Linked DNA regions of Drosophila melanogaster. The protein of the gene in region 2 interacts with the protein of the main gene of each other region in a pairwise test. Each region holds a gene or a part of one and is shown on either strand. Other genes may lie near its edges. The genes, in order: CG13032 and Tk.

What was found.
Region 1: the proteins of Tk (region 2) and CG13032 interact in a two-hybrid assay, tested with the Drosophila melanogaster proteins (one large-scale study listed by BioGRID).

The regions. Positions count from the first base shown.
Region 1 is NT_037436.4:16,668,502-16,684,146, reverse strand, and holds CG13032 (uncharacterized protein), read right to left. Parts: upstream 10,184-15,645; 5' UTR 10,000-10,183; coding exon 8,602-9,999; intron 8,546-8,601; coding exon 8,172-8,545; intron 8,114-8,171; coding exon 7,903-8,113; 3' UTR 7,883-7,902; downstream 1-7,882. Other genes in the region: lasp, read left to right, coding at 2,777-2,909, 3,200-3,335, 4,215-5,339, 5,487-5,722, 5,789-5,968; CG43954 (uncharacterized protein), read left to right, coding at 5,975-6,331; zetaCOP (coat protein (coatomer) zeta), read left to right, coding at 10,648-10,665, 10,723-11,090, 11,603-11,693, 12,305-12,352.
Region 2 is NT_033777.3:11,998,389-12,014,548, reverse strand, and holds the start of Tk (tachykinin), read left to right. Parts: upstream 1-9,075; 5' UTR 9,076-9,191; intron 9,192-11,032; exon of another isoform or gene 11,033-11,191; coding exon of another isoform or gene 11,192-12,251; intron 12,252-12,355; coding exon of another isoform or gene 12,356-12,773; intron 12,774-12,847; coding exon of another isoform or gene 12,848-13,062; intron 13,063-13,118; coding exon of another isoform or gene 13,119-13,339; exon of another isoform or gene 13,340-13,340; intron 13,341-15,109; exon of another isoform or gene 15,110-15,271; intron 15,272-16,160. Other genes in the region: GCC185 (GRIP and coiled-coil domain containing 185 kDa), read right to left, coding at 1-45, 109-226, 290-3,366, 3,427-3,526, 3,589-3,618; KLHL18 (kelch like family member 18), read left to right, coding at 4,176-4,307, 4,406-5,259, 5,322-5,580, 5,654-6,136; Ect3 (Ectoderm-expressed 3), read right to left, coding at 11,192-12,251, 12,356-12,773, 12,848-13,062, 13,119-13,339. UniProt on the Drosophila melanogaster protein: Tachykinins are active peptides which excite neurons, evoke behavioral responses, are potent vasodilators and secretagogues, and contract (directly or indirectly) many smooth muscles. Stimulates gut muscle contractions.

The DNA.
Region 1 (15,645 bases), on a different chromosome or scaffold from region 2:
TGGCCATTCATATCAAATATAAAGTAGTGTTGTTTAACGTTATTTTTGTAGGTTGAATAGTATATTCCAACAATATTTAAAAAGAAATTATGTTAATTTAAATGTTCTGAATTTAAAATTTTAGAAATATATTTATATTTTAGAAAATATTTCTAAAAATGTATAGAATTATGTGGCGAAATTATTATGACCAAAAAATTGACTTTGTTTGGTTCTTTGGTTCTCACCATTTATGCTACTGCTTATTGTGTTGTGTATTGTTTACAAATAAATTAAAATTCTTTGATAATAATAAAATGTGAAGCGCAAAAAAGGAGCAACAATTGCATCAGAGACATGCATTGTTGTTGTTGCTGTTGTGGCTGCTGCTGACGTGCATGTTGCTGCTGCTGTTGTTGTTTTTGTTGCTGCGGCTGATCTATTGGGAACGTGCTGAGACATCCGCTGGTGGTAGACGCTCGCCAATGTCGCCTCCGGGCGCTCCAGCATTGTTATGTCATCATTACCAGCTACCAGCAACAGTAGCAGCAGCAGTAGTAGCACAACTAGCAGCAGCAGCAGCAGCAGCAATGTGTGCCAGCTACAAAAGCAATTTGACCGACCGAACGCAACGGCAATGCGGACGATGCTTTCTGCGGTTCGGGCTTTGTACTTATTTCTGCCCCTTGGCCACCACCTCATCCTCATTCCCCTCCTCCGCCCTGCTCCTCCTGTCCTGCTTCTATCTGTGGCACACACATGCATCGCATATTGAACGATAAAGCAAAGTAAAGCTTGCAGCGGCAACAACAATGCATTATTGTTGCACTCTGGGTATACTCTTTTGCTGGATTTTTTACTTTTTATCAGAGGTATCTGTTTGTTAAAGGAATATCGAAGCAATGCCTTAATTGGCAAGGCGACTATTTAACCCGATTGGTTATGATAAAATTATGCATATATGGTATAATCCCAGTTGTCCTTGAAATTTTTAAAGTCTTGAAGTACCAGATAAATAGGATTTTGGTTTATACAGGGCATACGACATTCGTCCCTTTTCACGCAGTTTACACAAAGTCTTGTTGTTTGGAATTAGACCTACATGCATCGGTGCTCTCTCAGTGATTCTGGGTCTGCCGCTGCTCACACGCTTTGGTCATTAAACGGCCTTGTGCCACTATCAACTGTCCGACGTGCATATGTGTACCATTACACTATTATACCATTAAAGCATATATAGCATATAGCAATGTACCATATAGCGAGTCGTACCATTACCATCCATCTCGATGGTGCTGGTCACCTCTGTGCGTGTGTAACAGTTGGCATTGTTTTGTCGCTGGTTCGCATTCCACAGTGATTGCAACTTATTGTCAGTGGGGGGAGGAAAAGCTGTGAAAACAGCACCCCTACCAACTACCAACTACCTACTACCACCTTTCGAAAGTCGGCGCCAGCTGTAGGCGATTAGAACATCGCTAAAAAGCCATAAATATTCTATAAAGCCAATAGACTTGCATGCAATTACGTTTACAATACGGTTATATGAGGTTATATGTGGTTATATGAGGGTTGAGGGCTAATATGGCCAAAAGGCAGAAAGAGATACTTCCCCGCTGTGGGTTTATCAACCTCACGAGTCATCGAGTTTGGTTATCAGTTGGGCTGTTGTCCAATCGATCGATCGATCGATTAGCCCGCCGATAGGTTAAAGCACTCCGCTCATGGACGCAAACAAAAAGAGTTGTGAATTTATGGAACTGCACAGAACTGCGTTGTGTTTGTTTGTTCGCCATGATTACTTTCGCATAACAGATGCGCCATGTTTTTCCTTGCTGCTGCCAATAATTAAATTGATGTATTAGCCTGTGGGGACAAAGCAAGGGAAATTGATCCAAAAATGGCTATAATAATATCAACGATATTGTGTTTTGCTTTCATTCAACGTTTTTTTTACTTCGATATTTATTAGTTTAGTTTGGTGTGTTTATAAAAAAAAACTCCTTAAATCTATATAAATGAAAATGCTCGTCAGAAAGATACTTCTTCTATGAATGTGAATGAAATAGTTTTGCCATAGAATTTCCAATCCTCAAAGGAGATGGATGCTTTTCACATGCTTTGGACCATATATAAATTGGCTTTGTGGTCTTCCATTTAATTCCCATGCTAATTATTTGGATTAGGACTGTGCCTAGACAAGCGGGGAAAAGCTGCCCCCAAAGCTAATGGCGAATTAAGAGTAAGCCACTGAGGCTTTGATAAACTTGCATTTAGCCACAGAAAAATCACTGGAAGTGCATTCCCGTTATTTGCCAGAGGGTAACTAAAAAAGAAACCCCAATCAAACCACATAAAATACACGAAGTTTTTCTGCTGTTTTGGGGCACTGTTTTAATTGATAAAAGCAGAGGCGGCGAGGTCAGAGGTTTTCACACGAAGCCAACGTGAAATCAGAGATGGATATGCTGTGTGGCCTTATATAAGTATAAATACATGCGAATATGCATATGTATATTTCCCCTGCAGCAGCATCAGCATCTCTCATTCCACCCACTACCATTCGAGCGGAATTTCCGTGAATTCGAAAACCAAATCCAAGTTGAGGCCAGCTGGCGTGGAGAATTTTCAGCGAGAGCTCAGATTGCCAAAGGCAGTGTGCGAATGTGATGATGAACTTTATGTGCGGCATGCCACTGAACGAGCGGCTGTGCAACTGCAACGGCTTGCGACTAGATTTAACTTCTCTAACTCTGCTGATCTATAACCTAACACCACCCCCTCTTCCCTCTTGCAGACACATCCCGAAGGCGAAGGCAACGGCCATTGCCGATACGCCCGAATTGAAGCGCATCGCGGAGAACACCAAAATCCAGTCCAACGTCAAGTACCACGCGGACTTTGAGAAGGCCAAGGGCAAATTTACACAGGTCAGTGCGGAAAAAGTTAAGATAAGCTTAAAGAACTTATACTTCTGATGGAAGTTTATTGCCTAATTAGGCTTAATTTACTTGCGCGATGGATAGTTCTTTGAAATATTCAATATTCTGTTTGACATGTTTAACTAAATATAACTAAAGCGCGGCCCTTGTGAAGTTCACTTCAGTACAAGAACATTGATATATCCAACCCAAGTTTGAGATAATGCTTTTGATATATGTAAAGTTCCATCCGTCCATTTGGAGTGTGCCCTTACCTAAATTGCTTTTGCATTCGACAGGTGGCCGATGACCCGGAAACGCTGCGTATCAAACAGAACACGAAGCACATATCGAATGTGGCATATCACGGGGATCTGGAGAAGAAGGCGGCCATGGAGAAGCAGCGAGGATCCGCCGAGGTCTCCGACAGCAGCAGTGAGTACTCGACCGACCTTCTCCCTATACCCCTCCATCTGTATCTATCACTATTTCCATCTCTGTGAGAGGACTGTAACTATTGTATCTTTCCTACTCATCATCACTGGTAACGAAGCTTTATTGCTTGCAACCGCTAGTTCTCTTAATAACGGTCAGTTGGTGGTGGGCCGGGCTTACTGTTTTTGAATTAATTTATTCGAATTTCAATTGACTTAATGTGTTTATAATAGTCTATTGACGTCATTCACTCATGCATGCATTCAAATGGTCACGACAAAATTACAAAGCCAGCTTACAAAGAACTTGTGTAGCGATTGTTATTGATTTGTTTGTTAATTGAATTAAACATTTAAATATACATTGAATGTCACTCAAAATTACCACCCCTCAAAAAAAAAAATACGGAATTTTAGTATAAATTCCTTTTTCTTTCTTTCCTTTCTATTATTTTATTTAATTTACCTTATTTTGTATCCACTGTACTTTTACTTTGTGGACATGCATGTGGCATGTGTGTCTGAATTTGAACTTCTGCACTGTCCATCTAACTATGTTGTATCTATTTCCATCACATCTGTCACATTGTGTAATTAATATTGATTATAATGCCGTTTTTTTTATGGTTTGTTTTCTCTCCTTTTATTTTGTTGTGGACTTTGTTTATCATTTGTTGCCATTTATCCCACACCATCAACAACCAACTGCAACAATAAAATCAACAACATTATTTGTGTGCTTTCTGAACTACCGTTAACCTAACGTTACACACAAAACGAACACCACACACACATCCACACTAACAACAACGACTGTGGACAATGGTGCAACTAATTAATCGTCACCTCGAAATCGATAAATATCGAAAAAATCGAAAAGATGAATCGGAATACTTCTCAGAGCAATTGGCAGCTGAACAATTCTCGCAATATGCACCCACAGCCTCACCCATACCGCCAGCAGCGACAACACTACACCAGCAACAACAACAGCTGCAACACCAACAGCAGCAGCAGTACCAGCAACATCAGCAGCAACTGCAGCAGCAGCAACACCAACACCAACACTATCTGCAACAGCAGCAACAGACTCTGCCACCGCCACCCATACAACACCAGCAATACAACACAGCGGCCATAACGCCCACATACCAACAACTTCAACAGCAACAGCAACAGCAACAGCAACAGCGGGCACAGCAGCAGCAACTGCACGATCCCTATGCACACTACCAACAACCGCAGGCGCTGCGCCAGCAACAGCAACAACAACAACAGCAGCAACAACAGTTGCTGCAACAGCAAGCCATTAAACAAGCCTCACATCTGTATCCCACAGCAACATCCCAGCAGCAACAGATGCCGCCACCACAGTCGCCGGCGAATCCGCAGCAGCAGGCGCTCAACAGCTACAACGAGATGCGCTCGGCCATACTCCAGAACTCGCATCATCCCAGCGGCAATTCCGTGGATCAGTACGACCAGCCACAGCAGCAGCAACATCAGCCGCAACAGCAGAGCACCAACCCCACGCTGGTGGCTGCCCAACAGCAGCAATCCCATCATAGCCTACTGAACAACAATGCCAGCAACGGCGGCATTTCGCACAGCCACCACAGCAACATCAATAATAATGGACACGGCTCACAGAACCAAATGTTGCCGCCACAAATGAGACGCTCGGCGGCCAGTGTCGTCGCCTACGATGGCAATAGCAAGCAACAAGTGGCAGCCGGCCCAGGAGCTGCCCAAAATCACCTGCAGCAATTATACGCGTCTCCCAATTACGCCGCTGTGACTCCATCTGAGAATTCAATAAACGTTAAGCAGCACGCCAGCAATGGCCATATGCCGAACCAGCAGCAACAGCACGTGGCAGGCGGCAGCAATATCGGGAAGATAGCGGACTACGATCCACTGACGGATGGACCAAGGGTGGTGCCCAATGCCGGACGGTCCAGCACCACTTTGGTCTACAGCTCCGAGCCACGTGGCAATCAAGGTGGTAAGTTACGGAGCAGGCTAGCTGGTAGTTCGAGGTAGTGATAGTGCGCGCTCAGCTCGATGTTACACACTCATCTTGTCCTTGTCCCCGGCTAGTAGATATGTAGCCTAAACAGAACTAATGTCCAGAACTTTTATGTCCTCACAGGCAACAGCGTTTACCCCAAGCGGATTGGTTCGGTTTCCGATATTGATCCGGCCAATGGCATCTACGGATCGCTCACCGCCGCCGAGCAGGCTCACCAGCAGCAGAAGCACCAGCAGTACTACCAGCAGGTACAGATGATGCAGCAGCAGGAGCACCCGCCGCAGCAACAGCAGATGCGCCAGCAGCCATCCTACTCCTCCCTGCAGGAAAAACAATCGCGCCAGAGCACAGCAATGGTAAGTTTTGTTGGCTGTCTATTGTTTATTACAAAGTTATTTTTAACTATATGTCCCATATTTTAGCGCGTCTATCGGGCCATCTATGACTATGAGGCGCAGGACGTCGACGAGGTCAGCTTCCGCGAGGGCGACGTCATCTTTGAGGTGGAGTCAATCGATTCCGGCTGGATGACCGGACGTGTGGAGCGTACCGGCAAGACCGGCATGCTGCCCGCCAACTACGTGGAGCAGGCGGTTATATAATAGGGAATGTTCTACTACTGCTGCTGCCGCCAGCAGTTTGTGGTGATCCTCGTCTGCCTGCTCTACATCCTGCTCGTGCTCGCCTTCTTCGTCAACGTTTTTATCGCGGATCGCAACATGCACGCGAATCTAATGATGAGGAACGGTCGGCACGGCGGAGGTGGAGGAATCCCTCCGCCAGCAGGCATGCATCCGGGTCACCACAATCCGTACGACATGCATGGCTACAACCACTACAGCAACTACCATCCGCAAGTGGATTCCAAGCAGCAGCAGGAGTTGGCCAAAAAGACGCCGCAGCAGCAAGCCGAGCAGGACATTTACTACTATTTTAATCATGTATTCAGGCGGCGACGGCGATGATGTGGAGGAGTCACACGCCCCAACCAACAGCCCAAAATTTAAATTTTTAGTGCATTAACTTATACTGCATCCACTACATACATAGATATATATATATATATATATATACTATATATAGCAAAGCAGCGGATTATGTAAAAAGAGAAGAGGGAAATTAATTAATTAATTTTAAATTTATTAGTAATCCAACCAAGAACCAACAATCCGATATCCATCTTATTAAATAAACAAAGCCACAGCAGAGTTATGAGAAATCAGCCAGAGAGTCGAATGTGTTTCAGCTATGAATCGGCTAATATATGTCAGCGGAACATATATCTGCACCGATTCCAATAAGAAATTGAGCGACCAAGCTAACCCAGCCAAGTTTGCATTTATCTACAGCCCTTAATAAATCAAATTTATACAGATATTTATTGAAGAATATACAAAACGTTAACCAACTAATCGTACACTATAGCTTACCAATCATATACAAGTACGGATATCTATAAACAATTCGATTAGCTAAAGTGCTTCAGCATAACATGTTGTGGATAGCAAAATCCCAAGGCAAAGGTTTTCTAATTTAATTAGAAGTTCTCAAAGTAATACTTACACGGGGCAATAGCGCTAACACAAATTTCCCCCGAGTTTTCTTCGGCTTTCTGAAAGCTTTTCGCATTAGCAGCAATCCACTCGGATTCTGATCGCGTCCTTATCCCTACAATTTTGTCAATTTATCTGTGTAAACGAGGAGGACTTGAAGGATATTGTTCTTGTTTTTGCGGGGGAAATTCATGTTTTTAATATATAAATATTTTTGTTAAGAGAATAATAATTATATATTGTTTGTTTCTAGTGTTAAATTGAAGAAAGAGAATAAGGTGGAGATATCGTTTCGTTTCACAAAAGAAATCCTTGAAAGTGCCTTTAATTTGCTAAAACGTGTTTTTTAGATAAAACCAATTTACTAGGCTTATCAATAATAATGCATTAAAGAATCAATAAAAAAAAATATACTTATACTGTAACTTATACATTTTCATACCATACGCGAGCAATGGAGAACGAATTTCTAACGCAAATAATGAAGCAATTTACAAACGGCAACTAAAACTAATTTAATATGTGATTGCAGGATCGTTTTTCTATGGCAAGTCAAGCTATATATAATGTATTATTAACTTAACTTACAAGACACTCACACACACACACACACACACACATGCATAGCTATAGACAGCAATTAATAACAATTATATAGGCATAATGCAATTGGAAATGCTTCGAGTGGAAAGAAATCACCTAACAAATACTTGAATTAATCTAATCTTATCCTGAAATAGAAGCAGCGCCAAAGGCTTCGTTTTGTGAACGTGTTACAAATCAAATAAAAATTTATGAAAATTTAAAACTCATTGTTTTCGGTACTTCAGAATCAATGATGTGCATTGCAATGCCATGCAAGTTTAATAACATTCCAGTTACATATAAATATGTATATGGCATGACTTCTCGTCCAGTTTTTTTAGCATTGCAAAGAACATAAAAACTAATCAAAATAAAAATCGTGGTTTTGTTCATCTTCATTATTGAATGGAAGTCTCGCTCGTGCTTTTATCTGCATTTTTGCTACGATCGCTCAATCCCTTTTCGCGAGCTCCAAGTACAGTTTCAAGGATAATGGTCTTCGTACTGTTGATGGTGTCCTCGAAAAATTTGGCATCTGCGTTCTTCTCCTCGGTGATATACTCCAGCTTCTCTGTCAGCATTGTGATTTTTTCCTTGGCCAGTTCAAGACTGAAAATATAAGTAGTTATAGTTGATTAAGCGATGGGATTGCCGTGTCCGAACTTACTTATTCTTTAGATCCTCTATTCTGGGCTCAGGCTGTCCTGCCGAATTCAGCGTATTTGTGGACTGGTACTGGGACTGATTTTCGAAGCAGAAGGAACCAATCGATCCGTTAAGAGAAGTGCGACTCAGCGAACTGGCGTAGTCGGCCATTCGCTGGGTGCGTTTCTTCTTATCGGACTGCACATCGAGTTCCTTCTCCAGGTCCCTGATCTTGACCTCCAGTCGGCTGATACGGGCCTTTAACTTGCCAATCTGCTCCTGAGCTGCTTCGTTCTTGGCTCTCTCCGTCTCCAGACGATCTCCTAGAGTTTTGGTGAGCAACATAAGCTGATTTTTCTCCACCTCTAGAGCATCCAGGATGCCCACAAATTCCTCCTGCGGAATATAATTAAGCAAATTAATAGCTTATGTTTTAGTGTACAGAGTTTTACCTTTCGAAACTCGCGGCAGGAGAAGAGGAATCCGCCGGATAGGGCGCGCAGGTCCATTTCCAGCTTCTTGATCATATCCTGCAGACTGGCCATGGCCACATCCTTCTGCTTGACCACCGTCTGCAGCTCCAGATGCATACCGCTCAGCTCTTCCATTTGCCGGCGCGAAAGATCTCGCTCCTCGGTCACCCGGACCAGCTCGCCGCGCATGTCGTCCAAACGGTTCTCGTACTGAATCCTCTGCTGGTTCAGTTTGTCATTCATGGTATTGATATTGGTGCCATTGAAGTCGGTCTGCTCCTCCAGCTCATTGTATAGAATCTTGTACTTGTTCATCTCCTCGTTCAGATTCTTGTTCCTCACCTTTAGGGCGAGTGTCTTGCTGCGTTGATCCTCCAGTTGGTTTTGCAGGCTAAGAATCTCCTTTTCCAGAGCCTCCACCTTGGCTCGATGAAGAATCTCACTTTTACGCACACCCGGTGTAAAGCGATCGAAGCTGGCCGTTGTGGCTCCGCCGCCATCGCCTCCACCTAATCTCTCAGAGCTGGCATGATGTGATCGACAGCTGCCGGTTACCAACTCCAGATCCGAACCCAACGGCACTGGGGCAGCATATTCGGCTCGATCTACGGCTCGGTCCTCGTAGAAATCCAAGCGAGCCTTGAGCTCGTGCACTTTCTGGTTGAGCGCGATGATCTGCTGAGCACGACCGCGCCAATTGGCCTGATTAAGATTGTTGGCCAGGATGTTGATGTTGCAGCTCTCACCGATCTCGTGCTGCAGGCACTTTTGGGCCAGTTTCAGTTGGCTTTGTAGCTCGGTGTTCCTGTTTCGCGTTTCGAAGAGCTTCTGCTGCATACTGTTGATCTTGGCTTGGAGCTCATCGGGGGAGCAGCCCTTTTTTGGCAGATCCTGATTATGCTGCAGCTTCTCCTCGTGCGCACGCAGCTCCTTCTCCAGCTTCTCGATCTGAGCATCCTTTTTACCCAGCCGACTCTTTGCCTGCTCCAATTCGGAACGCATCTGGCGGTTCTTCTTGCTCAGTTCCAGGATTTTGGTGCTGGCAATGGAGGAGTTGCAGCGCAGCTCATCAATGGGCACGGAGTTGAGCACCTCGTTGAGCGAATCAACCGATTTCTTCAGGTCGGATATCTCCTGATTCTTCTCATGAATGGCCTGGGCCAGTGACTGCTTCTCCTGCTCGCATTCGGATAGCTTTTTGCGCAGCTTTTTGGACTCCGGCTTTGTTGGCTTTGGTTTTACCACAGCGGTGGTCAGCACCACATGGGCAGCGGCCATGGCATCATGGTCATGCCGACGTCGAGAGGAACGGCCCACTTTGCACCCCAACAGCTCCTGATCCCGATGGGCTACATACTCTTCCGGCAAAGTCTCCATCGCAATGCCCTCTAGTTGTTCACATAAAAATATACACAATTGAATCTAACAATTTCGTTGGCTGGGCGAAAATAATTTGTACGTGTGCCTGTTCTTGTTACTAAAATATTCACAAATTTTGGTTGTCATCAGTTGTTTCTAGGTTATTCAAATTTAAACCTCATTTGAAACAGACAAATCAAAGGCAAGGCAATTTTTAAATTTGGAACTCTTGTCATAATCAGGATTTCTTCAATAATAGGTAAGTTAAAAATAAACAGAGTTTCTGCAATAATAAAATTGACATTGACAATTCTTTTCTTGATCTTTCCAAACTGTTGTTTTATTTAAGACAGGATAATTTACATTTAAACCGTTATTCTTTTTTTACATTTACATTATTTTATTTTAAATACCCCAGCAAAGTACGGCCAACGTCAAGCAAGCCAGCCCCCCATGTGTTTCAAATTATAATTTAAAATATAATAATAAAACAACGATAACGGCTTAGCTAAAATTCAAAAATTTTAACAGTTTTTCTAGATAGTTTTAACTGTATCTAGCTATTTATTTTGTGACTCGAGTTGGCAGTACTGTTTAGTTGGTATAATTTAGCGGTCGCAATATGGTCATACTAAAGTGACGTGTAAGACACGAAAACAAGTGAAGATGGACGGATTTATGATGGTAAATTGCAAAATACACAAGTAACTGGCTTAAAATCAAACCCAACATGTGCTGCAGGATATCATCAAGGGCATGTGCATCATGGACAACGATGGCAACCGCATCCTGGCCAAGTACTACGACAAGAACATCCTGTCCACGTTGAAGGAGCAGAAGGCCTTCGAAAAGAATCTGTTCAATAAGACGCACCGCTCCAACACGGAGATCATTATGCTGGACGGACTCACCTGCGTGTACAAGAGCAACGTGGACCTCTTCTTCTACGTGATGGGCAACGCCTACGAGAACGAGCTCATCCTGCTGTCCGTGCTCAACTGCCTCTACGATTCCATTAGCCTGATCCTCAAGAAGAACGTTGAGAAGCGCCTGGTGCTGGAAAACCTGGAGATCATCATGCTGGCATTTGACGAGATCTGCGACGGAGGGTGTGTATTAGCGTATACAGTGATGGATGGAAAGAACAAGGGACCAAGTTAAAGCAGCTTTCATTAGCAGCAGTTCGTTTAGAAAACATCAAATTATTACTACACAAGTTCCCATAAATAACATTGTTATTTACTAGTCTATGAGTTAGGCCAGCTCAAGTGAAGCCTCTAAGTAGTTAACCGCATTTAAAGCTTCCTTTTTTTTAACAAAACCTAGTCAAGTCCAATGAAAAGTTATATGATAACTGCGATGTTAGGGTATAGGTACAAAAGTTTAATTATATAAATCAAACTAAATATTAAAATATATTAAACTTAAAGATTAAACTAATACATACGAGCACTGGCATCCTAGGCATGCAGCTCGTATAAGTTTTTAAGTTTATAGGCTGAGCTTTAGAAATCACCTGAGGTACAAAAAGATATACTTTGCCATTCATCACTGTATATTATGCATTACATATTATTAAATACAAATATTCTATTTAAACCTTTACCCGTTTTCCAAATAGCATTATTCTGGATGCGGATCCCTCGTCGGTGGTGAAACGCGTTGATCTGCGCAACGATGACATTCCCATTGCCGAACAGACCGTTGCCCAGGTAACTAACACCCTTAATGGTCTATTTTGGTAGTCTAACTACTTGGTAGCTCTTCTAAGTGTTTATAACTCAATGGTAGCCGTTTGTACTTTAATTTTGTCTGGTTTCGTTTCGCAATTTGATACCCTGCAGTCAAATATATTCTCATTTAGTTTTACCCGCCCTATGAACAAATAATTAGGCTCTTTGTTTTTCAAGACTATATGTAGTTAGTAACTGAGTTAATATAAGTTTACAAGCTTTACACATTTGCCTAGATTTATTTGTTATTCGCATTTTTGTTTAATTACGATCTATTTTCAGTTTCAACAAAAGTGTTTAAATGTTGTAAAATTGTACCTATTTTAATGAATGCTTCCAGATAATATTACTTATTACAATTTAAAGTAGTTGTGTCGGCGTAAATTTCTTTTTACCTTTTGTACATGTTACCGAATTTCGATTACTTTTCCCCATATCGCCCCATTCATTGTACTCCGAGAATGTTCAAAATAAAATTGGTGAAAATGTTCTGGAACTTCGCGCTCATTTTGATTTGTTTCATTAGCTAATTGATCGAAATTATTGCCGAGTATCTGTATCTATATATGTGTGTGCTATCTATCTTTTAGGTTCTGCAATCGGCACGTGAACAACTCAAATGGTCCATTCTGAAGTGATGTGAAATGGGGTGGCGGAAGAGAGGAAGCCACTTCCGTGCCGCGTTGTCGCAATACATTCGATTCTTCTTTTAGCGCCCACTTGTTTTCGCCTAGTTGTAAAGCATATAATAATACATACATTTAACTGGAGAGCACTGCATGTTTTAATTTAGCATTAAACTACTAACTCGGTGTGTCATAGAGTAGCCAAAGGCACCGACGGGCGATTGGAGCTGCCAAGTTCCGTTTGCGCCACTATAAATCTTTTGTGCGTGGTATGCAATCGAGTTCTTAGATAAGGGAAATCACCTGAATAAACAAGGACTGTATTTAGGCAAATCTAATAAAAGCTTTGAAGACTTTCCAGACTAATACTGAATGTATTAAAGAGTATTCCCAGGTTCGTTGCTATCGAGCTGCTATGGCTTATCGCAGAACTTTATGGTGTTACTGAAGTCCACAATAATTCTTATTTTGCTTAATCGATGAAGTAGCGCAAGTAGCCATATAATGCCAGAACTGACCCATTCAACGCAACGCAGATCGGTCAGTATTACAATAAGATAATGCAGGCAGGCATTATGTTGCAACTGACAGCGCAATCACCAATCATATGCAGATGGGGTAAATCGAAACCACTTGTCTCCAGATACGAGGATAAAGTATGTCGTAAACCCACGTGACCAGCTGGTGTCCAAGCAACTTGGCCTGAAGTGGCACCTAAAACTGGGAGTGCTAGGGTATTAAAGTCTCTTTACGAGGCAGTGCTAATTATTAAGCGATTAAGCACCGATAATCTCAACATCTTTATAGTAGGGGGGCGCATAAAAAAGTTCTATTTGAAGAAGCAGTTCCAAACGGCTTTCAACAGCTTTGTTTTCTGGCAAACTCAATGTAAGGGCATTGGCACTTAAACTCATATTTGTTTGATTTATGGCCATTACAACCAAATGGATTACCTCTTCGCCATCGCATGGGGCTATTAAAAGCTTTAGTTATGAAATGAAGTTCTGCGTTGCAGGAAAAGAGGGCAATTAACGAAGACTTGTTCAATTGGGGGACTTACATATCATCTCTCTAAATTGCCTTATTCCGTAACTCCGTTTAATATCTAACCAAACAATAAAAAACAAACAGCTAGCAATTGTGATTCACTTGTTTTCCCACCTCTCGATCGCATGGCCAACATGCTATCATTCAACTTCAACCTGCTGCTCGTCCATCATCCAACGTACACCACCCATGAACCGCAGACGTGCTCCGCTCCCACTGATATATCCATCCACCCACATCCACATCCACCCCCGTTTACCCATCGTTCCTTAATCAAATGCTTGTCAACATTGCAGCCAAAACAATAACAATTGCAAAATTAAGCGCCTCGCGTTTATCTGCCTTCTGTGTTGTCGAATTAGACAAATAACACCCAAGTGGGGGGAGTCAGTTGGGGAGGTAAGTAAAGTACACAGCTATATGTACATATCTATCAGCCGTAGGAGCTGTGGTATCGGTACCGCACTTGATGGATGGATTGCCCGGGATCACGTTCAGGAATTCTGGCAAAGGCGCAACGTCCCCGGAATTAGCTGCTTACGTGGTTGGGTGATGACAGGGGCTGCTCGAATCACAGATAGGATCTCATGGGTTCTTCTACTCAGCTAATATAACACCTATATTTCTTTTTGAAATACGTTCGGAATGATATATAGATTAGGTGTCGTGAATAAAAGATGGAAAAAGTTGAATCGTTTTTTTCTGGAAATACTTTAACTTCTAACATATTTAGGTATTAGATCATTTAAAGCAAAGTACATCCCCATGCCACCTTAAAGTACAGTTACCCCATTAATTTATACCCAATATCGGGTTCTCAAGTATACTCCTGCACTATCAGGGGGAAGATTGAGATTACTTGGGCACAGAAAGAGGTTCCACATGATTAGCGCCACCGTTCCAAAAAATGGGTTCCAATCGGATTAAGATTTACGATCCCGATCGCCAGCCCCATCAGATTTATATAATGCCAACGCGCTGGTATTTTCGGGAGAGGACTATTTGGCATTCAGTCAGTCATACGATTTGTGCGCCTGACTTCGGATTCTTGTCTACTGAAACGGAAACCCACAACATCTGGAGAGGTTGAATCGAATCGAATCGAATCACGACTGATACTGGGAAATGATTGGCGACTTGTTTTTCGGGTGTGTACATATATATTTTGAACGATTGCCATTAATTCGCTGAATTTCAATCTCGCCTGTGGTAAACAAAATAGTTTAAATTCCATTCCGCAAAATTCATTAGTAGTAACTCTTCACGTGCCAACTAATTGAAACTGAACGAATTACGGCGAAGTGAAGGCGACTGCTTTGGTTTTCCTTACTTTTTATCATGCCCGCATTACCCAGTAAGTGAAGCTAATATCGAATGAGGGGGCCCGTTCCATAAAATCGACTTTATGGCCTTCAATGGGTAGGAAAATTTTCGCTTTTCGCACAAATTTCGCGGTTATTGCAGGGCCATGCCCAAATGTCTCTATCTCGAAGCGTGACTCTTTCTCAGCTCCCAGACGACTTGCAAACAGACAATTAAGACACCATATATGTATAGTGTGGGATGGTATGGAATCAGAGCACATCGACTGTCCGATAAGTGGATGGCTCGAGCAGCCGGCGACCTTGGCAGTGGAGTGGGGTTTAGCAAAGTGCTGCCCAGCAACTCAAGAAGCACCCCCCCAAGGAATCCCACAGGTCAGATCCACCTCGGTCCTCCATATCGGTCAATGGGTTCAACGCATCGAGAACCCAGATCGCAGTGAACCTCCGTGAACCATGAGTGCCCGATCGAAGCCCGATGGCGAACCGTTAATTTACGATCCCTGACAGTGGGTCAAATCCTCTCGGGCTGGCTGGCCAGTTATCTTCCATTATCGCGATAAGGCCTGAGTTCTGATCGGACCAGTTGAATTGAGCTGGACTGGTATGGGTTGTTGTGCTACCCGTTTGAATTGTGTTACTGGGGGCCCTGTATTTTAATTACATGTTCTTTCGAGTGCCCTGTTTTCGAGTGCAGATAGTTGCAAAACAATTCTTCTTCCAGTATGCAAACAAACGGTCTACCCCCGTAATCCTCCCCTGCGATCAAGTGTAATTTCTGTTGGTGCTGAAGAGGGACAAGTGGCATTCCAAAACTGTAAGGCTTGTGCTCAATTTGGAGTAGAAATATTTCTAATATAGAGGGTTGTCGATATGGGTTTTTCAAAGTATTGACGTTTTTCATAGTTGGTTATTACCCGAAATCTATATAAACGG
Region 2 (16,160 bases):
CAGTGAGGAATCCCGTCCAGCTGCGACTGCTACCATCTGCAGAAACTAAAAGCAATATCTTAATACAAGAAACCATACTAAAATTTAAATTTTTCTGCTAGTAGTTACCTTTCTGTCCCTTGGCCACACAGTTCAGCATTTCCATTTCGTTGCGACTCAGGCGGAGAATGGTATTTAGCACGGGAACCAAGCGCTGCCGCTCATCGACATTGTTTAACGTAAGGAACTGCAAGTTTATAAAGTAAATAGATTAAGCCCGTGGATATAGTTATTGCGTTCCTGATCTCACCTTTAAGAAGACGTTCTTCAAGTACTCGGAGTTGTGCATGTGTTGTTCACGTTCCTCGGAGCGCTCTTGGCGGCGCAATTCTTCCTTGAGCATGTCGTTCATTTGGGTCAGTTTAGCCAAATCCTGTTCGTTTTCGGCCAACAGGGCAGTCAAGTGCTTGACACGACTTTCCTGGATGCTTAGGCGTTCTTTTGTGGCCTGAAGCTGGGCACTTTGGACGGAAAAGTCTCCCCGTGCGGCCATTTCCGCTTCCTCGTCCTCCTGCTGCGAAACGCTGCGTCCGAAATTAGAGATGGTAGTCACGGTATCGCTGGTTATTTGGTTCATTGATGTGTTGAGCAGCTCGTCAAGCGGCATGAAGTCGTGGGAACGTCTCGAGGCAGTAGATATCTTTCGCTGAGCAGCCAGTTGGGCCAGAGAGACGTCTCCAGCGTGGCCATCCAAGCCTGTTTCGTGGTCCATAAGCAAGTAATCGATCTTTGCCTGCTCTGGACTGGTGTCCACGCTCGCGGCGGATGCAGTGGTATGCTGAGAGACGTTTGCTTGCATCTTTTGCGCTTCCTCCAGTTGCTCCTGCACCTGCGTTAATTGCAACTGGTGCCCGGCGTCCAGCTCATCAACTTGCTGGCGATGCTGCTGCATCAGGTCGTGTTGGAATTGCAACTGGCGTTGGTTTTCTAGCGACAGCAGGTCGTTTTGCTGACGCAGTTCGTCAACTAGAGAGACGAGCTCTTTGCTACGCTTTTGCAGATCAGTGTTATCCTGTCGCAATTCCTCTATTTGACTATCCAACTGGGCCAGGCGGGCAGCTCTTCCATCGTTGCTGGCGCGCAGATTGCGTTCACTCTCTCGAAGCGCAACCAACTCTTCTTCCAACTCCTGTTCGCGGTTGGAGCCCTTATTTTGGTTTTTGCGCAGCACAGACTGTGCCTTCAACTTGTATTCGGTGTACTCTACTCGCAGGTCCTCCAGAGCTCGTTCCGCATTTCGAAGCGCCGTCTCCAATCGCTTTTGCTCTGCCAGGTGCATTTCCAGCTCCTGGGTTTGGCTTAGTAGTTGTTGGGTGGCCGTGTTTAGCTTCGATTCGTATTGTTGGGCGCTCTCCGACAGCTGGAGACGCAATTGCTCCGCCTCGAGCTTGGCCTGTTCAACGCCATGTTCCAAATCCTTGTTCTGAGTGAGCGCCTGTTGCTTGCTGTGAACTGCGTCTTTGACCTGGACCTGCATGCGATCAATCTGCTCCTTAAGTTCTAGGGAGTGGGCCGCTTCGCCGTTTTTGGCCTCCTCTAGGATAGCGATCTCCTTGCGCAGCTGGACGATGGTGTTTTCCTTGCTGGCCAGTGATTCCTTAACGGCTTCTAGTTCGCTAGACTTAGCTGTCAGCTTCGCACTAACTTCGCTCAGGGATTTTTCAGCTGCTTCAATTTCCAAATTAAGGACACTGGAGTGCTTTACTTTCTCCTTGGACTTTAGCTTCTGGTTTTCAGCTCGAGCTGCATTTAAATCCTGTTGCAGTTGGGCCTGTGCCAACTTGATTGCCTCCAACTCCTCCTTTAGGGCACCGCTCTGTTCCATTTCATTCAGCTGCTGCGTCTGCTCCTGCAGTTTCTTTTTCAGCTTGGCAGCTATGGCTCTGAGCTTATGGTACTTCTCCTCGTAGCCTTCGTCCAGTTCACGCAGGCGGCTTAGTTCTTCGGCTCGTGATATTGTGGATGTCGACAGAACATCACTCTGGGCATCAGCATTCGCCTGCTCCAATTCCTCAACACGGCTCTGGAGTTGTTTGATCTTCTGTAACTTCTCCTGCGCCGCCTGCTGACTATTAGATAGTTGAGCCTCCAAGTCTCGTTGTCGCTTGACCTCCGCTTCGTGCTGTTCTTGAAGGCGTGAAATGGCATCACCGCGTCCTTTGAGCGCCTCGTTCAGTTCCCGCATCTCCGTTAGCAACTCTCCATGCTCTTGCTCCTTGAGGTGGTATCGCGTAAGCAAATCCTCGTTGTGTTGGCGCAGTTCTATGCAGATGGCTTCCAACTCCTGCAACTTCCTCTGCTGATTATCACGCTCCTTTGCAATGACTTTGACCAGATTTTGCATTTGATCAAGCTTGGTCTGGAATAAGCTTACATTAAGGTTCCTGGCGTGATTTTTGGTGTTTTCCTGCTCCTTCGTTACACTTATCAATTGTTCCTTGTCAATTCTATGCTGCTGCTTTATAATGACTGCAAGCTCTTCGAGAGCGGTTATCTTCTTAAGTAGGTACTCCACATTCAAATTGCTCCTTTGGTTCTTTTGCTTCTGCTTCACTATTTTGGCTAGCCGATCCATTTCCTGAACTCTTTGCAGCAAGCGCTTGCGGTCAATTCCAGTGTCAATTGTTTGAGGATTATTGTCTGACTTTCCATTGTTCAGCTTCAGTTTTTCATTCTCGGCCTGCAGGGATGCCATCTTTGCGCACAACAGTTGCGAAGCTTTGATAATCTCCACCTGCCATTTGGAAACGGATGCGGCGTACTCGTGCTGCGTTTCCAGCAGCACGCACTTGCACTCCTTGAGGTTCTTCAACTTGCGGTGTACATCAATGAAGCGGTCCTTTAGAGAATTAAACTTCTTGCGTTGCTCAGAGTTAAGTTCCTTGATGTTTTGGTACTTTTGCTGCAGCACACTCGACTCTTCTTCCATCGTGGCGACTTGCTGGCGAAGACTAGCGTTTTCCGCCTCCGCTTCCTTAATTTTGGCAATGTCCACTTCCAAAAGTTCCAGATTCTTGCGCTGCTCGTTACCCAGAGCATTGACCTGTTGCATAGCCTTTTCCATGCGATCCACATTGGCAAGGAGGGCATCGTTTTCATCACTCAGTCGCCCAAGTTGGCGCTTTAGGCTCTCGTTCTCGATCTCGAATTGCGTCAGTCGATCGGCATCCTCTTTGGTCTTTCGTTTCAGATTATTCACTTCCTCGGTGAGGATGAGGTTCTTATCGGTGAAGTCCTGGACCATTTCCTGCATGGCTGGCAGGCTGCTCTGCTTCTCCGCCGCCCGTTTAAGGGCATCCTTGAGTCGGTGATTTTCCTCGGTGAGTTCTGAAAGAGAGTGGCTTGCATTATTCTGGAAGATTCCCTGAAACTCTCCATCAAACTTACCATCTTTTGCCTGTTTCGCCTTTTTAGCGATGTTGAGCAGGCCTTTGTATTTGCTGATGATTTCATCTTTGCTCAGCGCCTCGATCGGATTCGGGTTCTTCTGCAAATGCAAATAACAAGATGAGACGTCATCATCAATTCTAGCGACACCTTTTTACTCACCTGGGTTTCCCTCGGTGATGCGGCTTCCATGTTACTTGCTATTTTCGTATCCTTGCATTTAATAGCGGTCCAAACATTTATGTCTTAACTCAGATCAGTGGTTTTCCAATTAGCAAGCGACCCAGATTACTCGAAAATGTTTTTGGACCCTTAATCAATCCGAGCGAAGAAAACACTCCAGCCACACTAACAGCTGATAGGGCTGTCATCACCGCCCAATTAGTGATGAGCGTCTTTTTTTAAGAAGGTGACGCAAAAACGGAAAAATTACTAATTAAAATTAAATGAAAGAATAATATTGTCTTAAAAATATGTGCTTTTTAAGGATTTAATTATCACTGTTGCATAAAAAGGGCTCAACTTTTTAATAAGTATTATGAAATTACATTTTGGTCCAAGAACGTTACCTTTAAAATTAAACAATATGATTCAATAAATTTGTTTCACTACTATTGGTGTTGTTCAACTATCGAAGGAACCTCAACTATCGATTAATGTGACCGCTCACCACTGACCACCACTAGCTCTGCAGTACAAGCAACATTTGGCATCTCTACTGTTTATCATTTTCTTGATCCGTTAAAGTGATGGATTTGAGTGATAATAGCCAAGTGGAGGATCAATACTTTGTTTACAAGCATGATAAGCTATTCGGCGAGAGTTTCCCCCTGTTCAAGGAAATCCGCAGGATGGGCAAGCTGTGCGATGTCACCCTAAAGGTTGTTTGCGTGCAGACTGGGGCATTCAATCACCCGCAGCTCAGAGATACGTTCATTATCTAGCGTCTAAATATAAAATGCCATCCCAATTATTGCAGGTTGAAGATCAGACCTTCTCAGCGCACCGCGTTGTGCTGGCGGCCACCATCCCGTATTTCTATGCGATGTTCACCAACAACATGGCAGAGAGTCGGATCAAGGAGATCACCATGAAGGAGAGCGCCATAGAGCCAAGTGCCCTGGAGAGTCTGATCAACTATGTTTACAGCGGCCAAGTGCGCATCGACAACCAGAATGTGCAGAACCTGATGGTGGGCGCCAGCTTCCTGCAATTGTCCAACGTGCGGGATGCCTGTGCCAGTTTCCTGATCTCCCGCTTTCATCCGCACAATGTCCTGGGAATCCGCACCTTCGCCGACTCCATGATCTGCCGGCAGCTAATCGACGCTGCCGACAAGTATATTGATCAAAACTTTGCCAAAGTCTCGCAGTCGGAGGAGTTTCTCGCCCTGGACTGCGAACAATTGCTGGAGCTGATGCGCCGGGACGAACTCAACGTACGCACCGAGGAGGTCATCTTCGAGGCCTGCATGAAGTGGGTCAAGTACGCAGAAGACAAGCGCTCTGAGCTCTTTCCTCAGGTCCTGGCTGCAGTGCGTTTGCCATTGCTCTCGCCTCAGTTCCTGGCGGACCGTGTGGCCCGCGAGGAACTCATTCGATCCTCGCACCAATGCCGTGATCTCCTAGACGAGGCCAAGGACTTTCACCTCATGCCCGAGCGCAGGGGTCTGCTGCAGAGCTTTCGCACGCGCCAGAGATCCGGTGAGTTCTTTACCGGACAAATATACGCCGTGGGAGGACTGGCCAGCACTGGGGAATCTGTGAGCACGGTCGAGATTTACGATCCGCTCACCAAAAAATGGAAAATGGGCGAACAAATGTCCATGATGAGGTGAGTGTGCGAGGAGCATTTATTTCTATTCTATCCCATACTAATTGCCAATTTTTCGACAGATCTCGCGTGGGTGTGGCCGTTCTGAATGGCAAGCTGTACGCCTTTGGTGGATTCAATGGCACCGAACGTCTGTCCACCGTTGAGGTCTACGACCCGCGCAAAAACAAGTGGTCCCAGGGCTGTGCCATGCTCTGCAAACGCAGCGCCGTGGGCGTGGCCGCATTGGATGATTGTATCTATGTGTGCGGCGGCTACGACGGCGTCACGTCGCTCAACACCGTTGAAGTTTACTATCCAAAGTCTAACACTTGGAAGACTGTAAGTAAACAAACATTCTATGTAACCCAGATGGGTAAGAAAACTGATCCAACTTTAATTTCACTACCCGAAGGTTGCTCAAATGATGAAATATCGTTCGGCTGGTGGAGTTACCCAATTGAACGGCTACGTCTACGCCCTTGGCGGTCATGATGGGTTGTCCATATTCGATTCGGTGGAGCGGTACGACCAGGCCGAAGATGTCTGGGTTAAGATGTCGCCCATGCTGAATCGTCGCTGTAGACTGGGCGTGGCCACGCTGAACGGAAAGATATACGTGTGCGGCGGCTACTGCGGCAACTCATTCCTTCGATCCGTAGAGTGCTACGACCCTCAGACGGACACCTGGAAGCTGGTGACACCAATGAATTGCAAACGCTCGCGGGTGGCTCTGGCCGCCAACATGGGCAAACTGTGGGCCATCGGCGGCTATGATGGCGAGTCAAATTTGTCTACAGTCGAGGTGTACGATCCGGAGACCGACAAATGGACCTTTATGCCGCCCATGTGCGCACACAGTGGTGGTGTCGGAGCCGGGGTCATACGGATCGAGTAACCCACTCGATTCGCCTGCCAAACCCGTTTCTCTAGCCACACTCGTCTTAGGTAATTTATGTGAATTGAATCGATATAGTTTAGCCTAGATATGATTGTTGAGGGTAACCAAGCTTTAGTGGCACCTCGTGCGGCCGCCTCGTATGCAACTCAGCTCAGCTCTTGCAGCTCTATCAAAATTGTTCATATACTACTCACAGCTCTATAGATTTTGTCATTCCAGTTATGTAATTGTTTAGTTACTACGCCTAGCCTTAAATACTCATTACAATATTAATCCTCCAAATAAAAACATGTATAACGCATGTTATGTAAAAATTTATTAATGGTTGGTTTATTTTTGTAAGACGGGTAAAATAGTCCTATGTATAACTAAAATCAATTTCACACCAATTTAAATCATATTTTATTTAATTTAATTTAAATTGAACTAGACTCTTAACATTAAAGTTATCTAAAGACGTATTCTTTGTATTCATTTTCAGTCATTACCCTCGCCATTTGTAATCTTGAAATGTTTTAGAAGGTTGTTAAAGTTCAGTAATTTCCTTACAGTAAAGGGACGACTGTCAACCTTTTGCACATCGTATAAATCAATTGTGTTTCGACGATCCATATGGGCGGCGGATACGTTTTATTTGAACAATAATAAATGGTTGACAAATAACAAAGCAATCTGAGCGACAAAAAGGCGAAAATGGCGAGGGCAGCGCAAAAAGTTGATGGTCAATAAGCAGGCCTTTATGGAAGGCAGTGCACTTGTTTATTGTCCCTAAAATACTTTCAGTTTTAATTAAAAATGATTAAATATTATTACCCAAGTCCCAATGTCTATCTACAATTTTCTACTTATTTTGTAACGAATAAATGTACCTTCCCTCGTTGCATCTCAGTTGAACATGCGGAGTATCTCTTCCCTTGATATTTGTACACCTCCCACGCGCGGAATGCAATTTTAAATTCGATTTGCACCACCTGCTCAAAGTGCAGCGGCAGCAAAACTAATTCGGAGCAACAGGTGGCAATGGCGCATCCAAAAATAGAGGCTAACGAAACCAAACCAAAACAAAATCAATTTGCCGTCTATCACTGACCCATAAAATGCCATACGCACAGCAAAGGGTCATAATCCAATCAATTGCACACTTAACGTACATATTTCGCAGTTATCAGATGGTTCCAGCGATGGAGGACCTTATCGCCGATCCGGATACGATCCGGTCCTGTTCCCGATTGCCAATGGCTACATGTATATTTATGTGGCTCTGCAGCGGCACGGCTATTTGCACAAGCGAAAAGGCTTTGTGGCGGCGGTCTTATTTGATTTTGATAATCAAATCACAAATTGCTTGTCTATCGATGGGCAATTTTATTTTAATTAAATGCTAATTATGTTTACCAAATGGTTGGAGTAAATATTTGTTGCATCACCGGGGACAATTGTTTATCACCACCAAACTGGAGCTCGTTTAGTTGGAAATCCGTCTAATTGTTTGGAGGGTGAGGAATTGGCTTTTTTTTTGCCCCGAAATCTGTTGCAATTTAAATGCAAATTTTTCAGCGGGCTCTCTATACACTGTAACATTTACGACTCAATTGCCCGAAAAGGCGGAAGGCAGTCCTGCAAGAAAGGATGCGAAGATAAGATGCCTGCAGGAAGCGGCGATGCTTCCACGTTTAATTTTAGACCGAAAAACTGGCGTTGTAGTGGCTGCAAGTTGCAACGAGCTGGCCCCCGGATGTGTGTGGCATCCACTTGGCCTTTCCGAGTGGCGTGTGGAGGGATTCGCCTGCTGCGGGTGATGCGGGTGATGCGGGTGATCCGGGTGTTGTCTTATCTCAAATGCCGCGACCTCGCCTCAAGTGCATTGTTGATGGTCGCGACCCGTTGAAATCTGGCTGCAACGACTTTTCCGGCTCGTTTTGTGACGCATTTGAGACGAACCCGCTTGGCCGCTTTAAATTTGATTTATTTCAAAATGATTGAAATACGGCTCAAAAGTCAAAATGAGACTCCAGGTATGGAATGCATCTTATAGTTGCATCGAATCGAATCGATTCCGTAATAATTTTGATGTATTTAAAATGTAAAATATTCATGGCTAATATATTGAATGCAATCATAAATACTGCAATATATACATAAAAAAGCACAACATTCTTTTATAACCAACTATTTCCAAAGAACGTAGTCTATTTTCATTGCATATCTCGTTTGTAGCCAATAAATGTTTCGAACACCCAACACACTTTTTGAAAGGTCAATGTTTTGTTTGCTTTATATGCGTCATATGGGAACAATTTTAATTACAAATTTTTTGGACAAACAGCCCGGGAAAAATCAACAAAGTGCATAATTTTTATTTGTCCATCTCGCAGGCATATGGTAAATCATAAATATTAAAATAAACCAAAAACAGCAACGAGTACGGGACTACATACGTAATATAAAACGAAATTAATATTTCCTTATACGCGAAACTTTCCCATTTGGCCAGTTTGGATGCTGTTGCTCCCATTCTCATTTCACTTTTCGTATCTTTTGCTCCTTTTGTGCCTATGCCTTTTTCGCATTTTGCCTACTTTTTGCATATGTTTTATTCACATATGCAAACAGAATTTCCGTTCAATTCAATTGCTCCGGCGAGGAGGCAATTTTTTATTCCACGCTGAAGTGGCGGCCGCATAAAAGAGCACACACACCGCATCGCCACACTCGCACACTCACACACTCACACCTCGTATCGTTTCAGATTCTATTCGACCAATTGTTGATATCCACGAGCACACACACACACCCTCACACCCACACAAACACACACATACACACACAAGCCGAGGCAGCTCGTGTTCCGCTGAACTTCGTGTCCTGCCGGTCGGGCTTCCTGTTTCGTTTCGGCCTTATCCTTCTGCCGCTTTTATAAAGGTCCGTTGTCGCTTCGATCTGTCGCTCAGTTGTTGCATACTTCTCGGCGCGTTCGGTACGCGAGCATTTGGACAAACAGTTAGATAGAACTGAAAGTGAAAGATATTTCCCAAGCGAATTGGCTTTACTTGTAAGTGAACTTCAGCATGAACACTTTATTAACTCGGTGGAGTTTTTTGCTTAATATTTAACATGATATCTGCTCAAATATTTCGAGCAGTGATTATTTCTTCTGAACAAAACAATCATCAAATAGATAGAAACTTTGCAATTGTTAGTGATTTTTGGCGCGATCAAAGATAACTTGTATCTTTAAATATAAAGTAGGTTCGAAGCTACCAACTATGGTATTTTTAAAAGTAGTTTTCAGAAATTCTATTTAAGAAAAGCTTTTCAAAGAAATGATGGCTTTAAAACAAATTGCCTTTGTCATAATAATGCATTTGTCAAAAATTAGCTAAAAAAAACACAACACATTCAAACTTTTATGCTTCGGCATGTTAAGAGTAATGTTTGAGATTTGTTATCAGATTTTATATCCCATTTGATCTCTGGGGTCTGCTTAATATAATCAACAAGTTTTTATGACAGCACATTTGTTCAGTCTGACCATAAAACTTCTTGGGTGGCATTCAGCCAATTTAAAGGAGAGAAAACAAGACGTTTTCACTTAATGCTGACAAATTTCGCACATTAAGACTGCAGTCTATAGAGTTTTTAATGGAATATTAGAAACTAAAAAACACTCGCAATAATGTGTTAATTGGTCTGATTAACTGACAAGATCCTTCTAACGTTTGCGTGATATAAAAAAAAAGTTGACCAAGTTCTTAAGGACTTTCGCAGTCAAGTTCATTTTGTTTTTACATATTTGGGTCCGGCGGAAGCTGAAACATTGTTTATGGAGGATGGCCATCATCAATTGACAGCCAGCGGGCAGAGCTAATAAAAAGCAACATCAATGCAGGGCATCAGATTCCGGGATTGGGATGGCGATGGCACACATCCGGTGGCAGCACGCAACGCCATCCCATTAGGGAAGCACTCTCCCAAAAAGCCACTGGACTGGCTGGGTGGCCACGGGTGACATGAGGCGGCGCTTTAAAACTGCCCCTGGGTCTTAACTTGTTTTATGTCAACTTGGACAACGAGAACAGAGCAATTACAGCATGTGTAGCCAGCAAAAAAAAACACAAATACTTGAGCTGCAGCTGCGCCTAAAAGAAAGATCCTTTAAAACGTAAGCCACTGCATGTGAATGTGTATGTGTGCGAGTCAGGACTAATTAACTGTAGCTGCCTCACTCATTACGGCAACAAGAGATGGTCAAGTAGGGAGTGATTCTCCGGCCCGGGAGCACTCCGTGAAATGTCAACGTAGAGGTACACAGGTACACAATTTGGGTAAATATTTTATTACAGTTCGAGGACAGTTTGGGAGACCTGAAGGGCAATGAAACTATTAGTTCGTTAATTTAGCATAAATATTAATAGGGAAAATAATACAGAATGCGAAAAAATAACCAGCACTATTTAGAACATCTGTGCATAAGAAAGTTTAAAAATCCTAACAACTTGACACGCCTAAGTTTCTATGAACAAAATATATTTTGGGTCAGTTCATTGGAAAACTTCATCCAAAAATATCGCAAAATTCCACGACATGTACACATTTCAAAAACAACAGCGGTAATCTAACATGTTCTTAAAAAACACCGAATGCCAGCGGAAAAGAATGGAGTGGGATTGTCATAGAAAACTTTTGGGAACCTAAAAAATCAACGAACCAAGACGCGACTCATTTTCCGACTCGCCTTTGACTTACTTTGACTCATCATCAGAGCGTTTCTGTGGATTTCAATTTCAATCATTAGGGATTAATTTGGCCCAGGCACAAAGGTCACACATGGCAGGCCTGTAAATCCATCCCCGCATGCCACAACAGCTTTAATGAGTCTTTTACAAAAGGGATAACGAGGCAGACAGGACGCGTCCGTCTCGGAGTTGCTTTAATGTCTTGCAAAGAACTTAAACCGCATAAATTTACATTTAGATCTACATATACGGATGATGATGCATGATTTATGGCTACAGCGATGGATGCAAGTCGCAATGGTCCTTAGGCCGACGACTAAACGGTCCTCGCGTTCAGAATGGGGGTATCTCGGAAGTGCAGCTCCTGTGAGGCGGGTGTCTGCTGATACTCCACCACCACCAGTCGATTTGAGCCCGCCTTGAGCACGGCGGCCGGAACATACAGGGTGACTTGAGGTCCCACCAGGGGCCAATACCTGCCGAGATTTTCGCCATTCACAAAGACAATGCCCTTGCCCCAGCCGGACATGTCCAGATAGGTGTCCGCCAGATCAGATTCCTTTTGGATGTCCAGTTGACCGTGGTAAATGGCGGGACCAGTGCGCAGCATTGTGCGCAACTTCTTTAGCTCCTGGAAGCCCTGACGAACTGCCTCATCCGACTGGGTAATCAGCTGCTCCAGGTTGTCGTACGATTCGAGTGGGAATTGGGTCATGTTCCAGTTGCTCAGCACCTGCTTGTCCAGTCGAACATCCCGCAGGATGCCCTTAAAATCGTTCAACTGTCGACCGTAGTTGATGCGACCCTGGTTCTCTACGATAATCTGGAACCTCCGCCCGGCACTTGCACTGAGTGGCAATTCGAACACGGGGGTTTCCCTGGCCAGAATACCCACGAACTCACCATCCACATAAACGTAACCTCGATCCGCCAGTCCGGGAACGCTAAGGATGCTCGGATCCCGCTGGAAGCTGGGCAACCAGGTCTCGTAGAGCACCAAACCAGAGTACTGTCCCAAAGCCTCGAAGCTCTTCGGCTTGGCGGACTGCACAAATCCAGTGGAGAGACGAGATCGAGCCTCCGACGAAAGCAGACTACAGCAGGTGGTCAGACGCACAGTTCCGTAGGATCGCTTGGGTACGGGTCCGGGCACGGGTTGATTTGGCAGCGGGAGATAGCGGCCAATGATGCGTCGCAGGGCCTGGTATTTGGGAGTGGGATCCCCCGCCTCCGTCATGGGTGCATCGTAGTCGTAGCTGGTAATGTCAGCCATGTAGTTTCCGGGTCCAATGTCATTGGCACCAGCTGTGAATCCGAAGTTGGTGCCGCCGTAGAACATGTAGAAGTTCACACTGGCACCATGATCCAGCATGTTTCTGGAAGCCAAGGCAAGGTTATATATACGATATTATATATAAATATATATTAATTCTTTAAATAACACATAATAATCAATGCCCAAACCAAATTGGAAACTTACATAAAAGTGGAAGTAATCGATTGGGTGCTAACATTGGCCATCGGCTCCGTCCAGTGAGTTAGCCAACCGGGATAGTATTCCGCATTGACCAGCGGACCCTTTGGCTGGTACCTTCTAAACTTGGCCCAAATGGGCTTGAGATCGTTCGTTGCTCCAAAGTCCATGGTCGCTAGGACGCCCTGGATTTTTCCACAGCGCAGCACACTGGGTCCATCGTTGGTGAAGAGCACCGCCTGACCTTTGACATGACTCTCGGTCTCATCGCGTAGCCAATTCCGATAGTTGAGATCGCAGGCATAGAAGGAGCCATATTCGTTCTCCACCTGAACCATTATAATTGGCCCACCATTGCCATACAGATATTTATTCATTTTGGCAAACAGTTGGGTATACCAAATGCGAATTTCGCTAAGATAATCTGCCACATTTTTGGAATTAAGCAGTAAAACATAAGTAATCTTAAAAGTTAACAAAAGGAGTATCAATACTTACTGACATCTGCTGTCCGGAGCTGAATGCCCGGATACTTATTCAGCAGCCAGTAGGGAAAGCCGCCCATGTCACGCTCCGCACAAATATACGGACCCGGACGGAGGATGACCAGCAGATCCTCGCCCACGGCCAGGCGTATAAAGTGTTCCAGATCGGCAATGCCGCTCCACACATAAACGCCATCCCGCGGATTGTGCAATGACCACTCCACATAGCTTGTAGTTAATGGAAACATGACAATCGAACCATTAAAATCATAGTAGTGACTCACGTTGTCACCGCATTCAGACCCGCAGCTCTCATGGTCCTAAGATGCCTTTGCCAGGTGGCTGGATGAGCACGGAAGTAGTGGAAGGAGCCGGCAATGAATCGGAATGGTTCTCCATCCTTTAGGAACTGATCCTTTTCGTAGTCCACCACAAAAGTGCGATTCGCTGAAACAGCTCCTAGCAGCGGTAGTAGGGCCACCAGGACCACCACACTGAACTTCATTCTAAAGGATTGCAGTAGGAAAGATAATATATCAATTAAGATACTGGGAAAAAAATTTCATTATATTTATCATTAAAGCGATATAGATAATAATTCACATCTATTTACTTTGATTACTCTTACACACTAGCTTCGTTAGTACAAAAAAGTAATCATTTTATTCCTGATAAAAAGCGCTGCCAAAGCTATACAGTAATTGTAACTGTAAAAGTAATTGAAAGTAACAAAAAGATACGCAGCAAAATGATTAAATATGATTTATGTACGCCACCATACATAAATGTTTTATGCCATTTAAAGAAAGCGTATTGTGTGCATTCTTTAATAGATTCTCGAATAACTCAACAAATTCCTTTAAGTATTCTGTTTTCTCTGGCCAACGTTTATCTTCCGGATAGTCTGAAGACCCAGTCCGTTCCGCTTCCTAGTGAATCAATCTAAATCAGCCCAGTTGAGTTCATCGCAGTGCAAAGCGTGTCTCGTTTCAGTTGAAATGTTTCAATTGAAGTTCACGGCTCAATTGCTTAGTGACAACAAAACGATAAAATCTTTTGTTTGTTTTGCTTATGAATTGTTTGAAATTAATTCCATTTACTCAAACCGCCCCTGAACTTCTTGGCTGGAGCTCTGTTTGGTCTGCTGTTGCATTCCCTTCGGGTCTCATTAATTAATGCAAGCTCAGCCTAAGTCAATTATTTAATCTGGCTTCTTCGCGCAGAGTAGTGTTTCATATACAATTTGTTTTTTTTTTTTTTTCATTTCCACAGCAGCTGTTCCACAATAATAATGAATTGTTATTTCTGTATTCGGACACTCTGTTATGAATTCATTCTTATCGGCACCATTTGTTTGCTCTTCACTTTCTTCATTTTATGCGATTTGACAAACGAATGCTACGTGTGTTTGTGTTCTATTTTAATTTTTTATTCCCGATGTGGATTATTTTGATTACGCTAAACTATGAAATGTTGTTTCAGCATCATTATGCTTATTAAAAATCATTTTTGTGATTCATTATCCTCTGATGCTTGTCCGTCAACAGTTTATAAATGTTTGCTGCTTGGAAAGTTTTTTATAAATTCATATTACGATTCATTTAGGCATTTTAAAGTGCTATAATTGACTAATTTCGTCAGGAGGTTATTTTATTTAATGTTTGCCCCAATGAACTCAAAATTGCTCTACATCTAATGGATATAACATTTCCATTACTTTAGGAAATCTTCATTGCTTGGCTAAGACAAATACTCAATGTAATTAAGTCATGCCTTATTGACATGAAATAAACATTTTAATTGAATTAAGTTGAATATTAAATATACACAAATGCTTACATCCGACGGTGATTTACACGCTGTGATTCCGTATCTCTTATCACTGAATGGAATGACTCTTAAACCGATAAGGCAAGTGCTCCCCGCTAACCAAATGATCTCTAAATTAACCTGTAATAAATACACCTCCATCAAAAAACTTCCCGTATATGGGTGCCTAAGCTACGAAATTCGAATATATACAGTAGGTACCCAAGGGAAAATCGGAACGAGAACGCAACGTAAATTTTAGGCATCTGACCTAAATAGATTATTTTGCATGCCAGTTACCACCGACTTTACAAAGCTGGATTCCCACTGCGTGTTCCGCTTAACTTTACTGGCAATTAGACGAGAAAGTTGGCGATCGTCGCTTTTTTCTTTCGAAATAAGTCCAGCTTTTGTTTCGAAAAAAAAAGCCATCCAAACGATCTCCAATTATTCATATGACACTTACCTCGCCGATTGCAGCTACACGCAGTGAAAGAAGTGTTTGACTTTTTAGTGTTGATTTAGAGCACAGACGATATAAAAACACAGAATACGATCGCGATGGTTGCAATTACTAGGTGGAAAGTGCGCCAACTGTTCCGCTTGAAATCCAAATTCAAACTGATCGTGCGGTGACCAGAAACCGCGATTAAGTGCAGAACAGAACGAAGACGCGGCTGGCAACATGAGGCCAGCGCAATTGCAGCGCAGCGGCAACATTGTTGAGCAACATTTGTGCTAAACTATGGAACAAAGAAATAACTAAAGAAGTAGAAGCTTATGTATACAATATTTTAATGAATTCATAATGAATCAGAAACAACACAATTAGAGGTGCATTATTGGTCAAAACTGAAGCGTTAGTTTTCTTATTAACCACCACATTATTATTTCTATAGATTTAACCGACTTATAGCCAAAAAATAAGTGTTCTTATGAAACAAACCATTTGTTTAAGCCCTTTTAGACGGGCGTTACATCAAATAATCCTTGACTTTTAACCTACTACTATTGATGCTATCCCTTTTTGCATCCATTGTTTGCTGTTCAATATTCCGTGCCTCTAGAGCATGTCGAAGTCGTTTTCCTAAAAAATTAATGTAAATTTATTTAAAATCCACACGCATGCCGGTGGAAATTCGAAATTGGGCTGCAGCTGCTGGTAGAAAAGAAAAGGAGTCGATTTCAAATTATGGTCACGCCTCATTTTTTATGCATTAAGTGTGTGTATTTGCTTTGGCCTGAACTCTGGCCTCCTTTTCGCATGCAAAATAGGGTGACATGGAAATGCAGCCGCGGGCAATTGGCCGAAAAGTGAGTTTTTCATGTTGTTTTATTATTAATTTCATACATTTCGGCTGGGCCTCTCTGATTCCGTCCGCCTGTTGTTGGTTCACATTGCGTAGTCCTTGCTTACAACTGGGCTAATGGGCCCATATTACCCAACCACGAAAAAAGGCTCACACCCACACACACACACACGCAAACCAAAGGCCGAGCAAACAATGTGTTGGCCA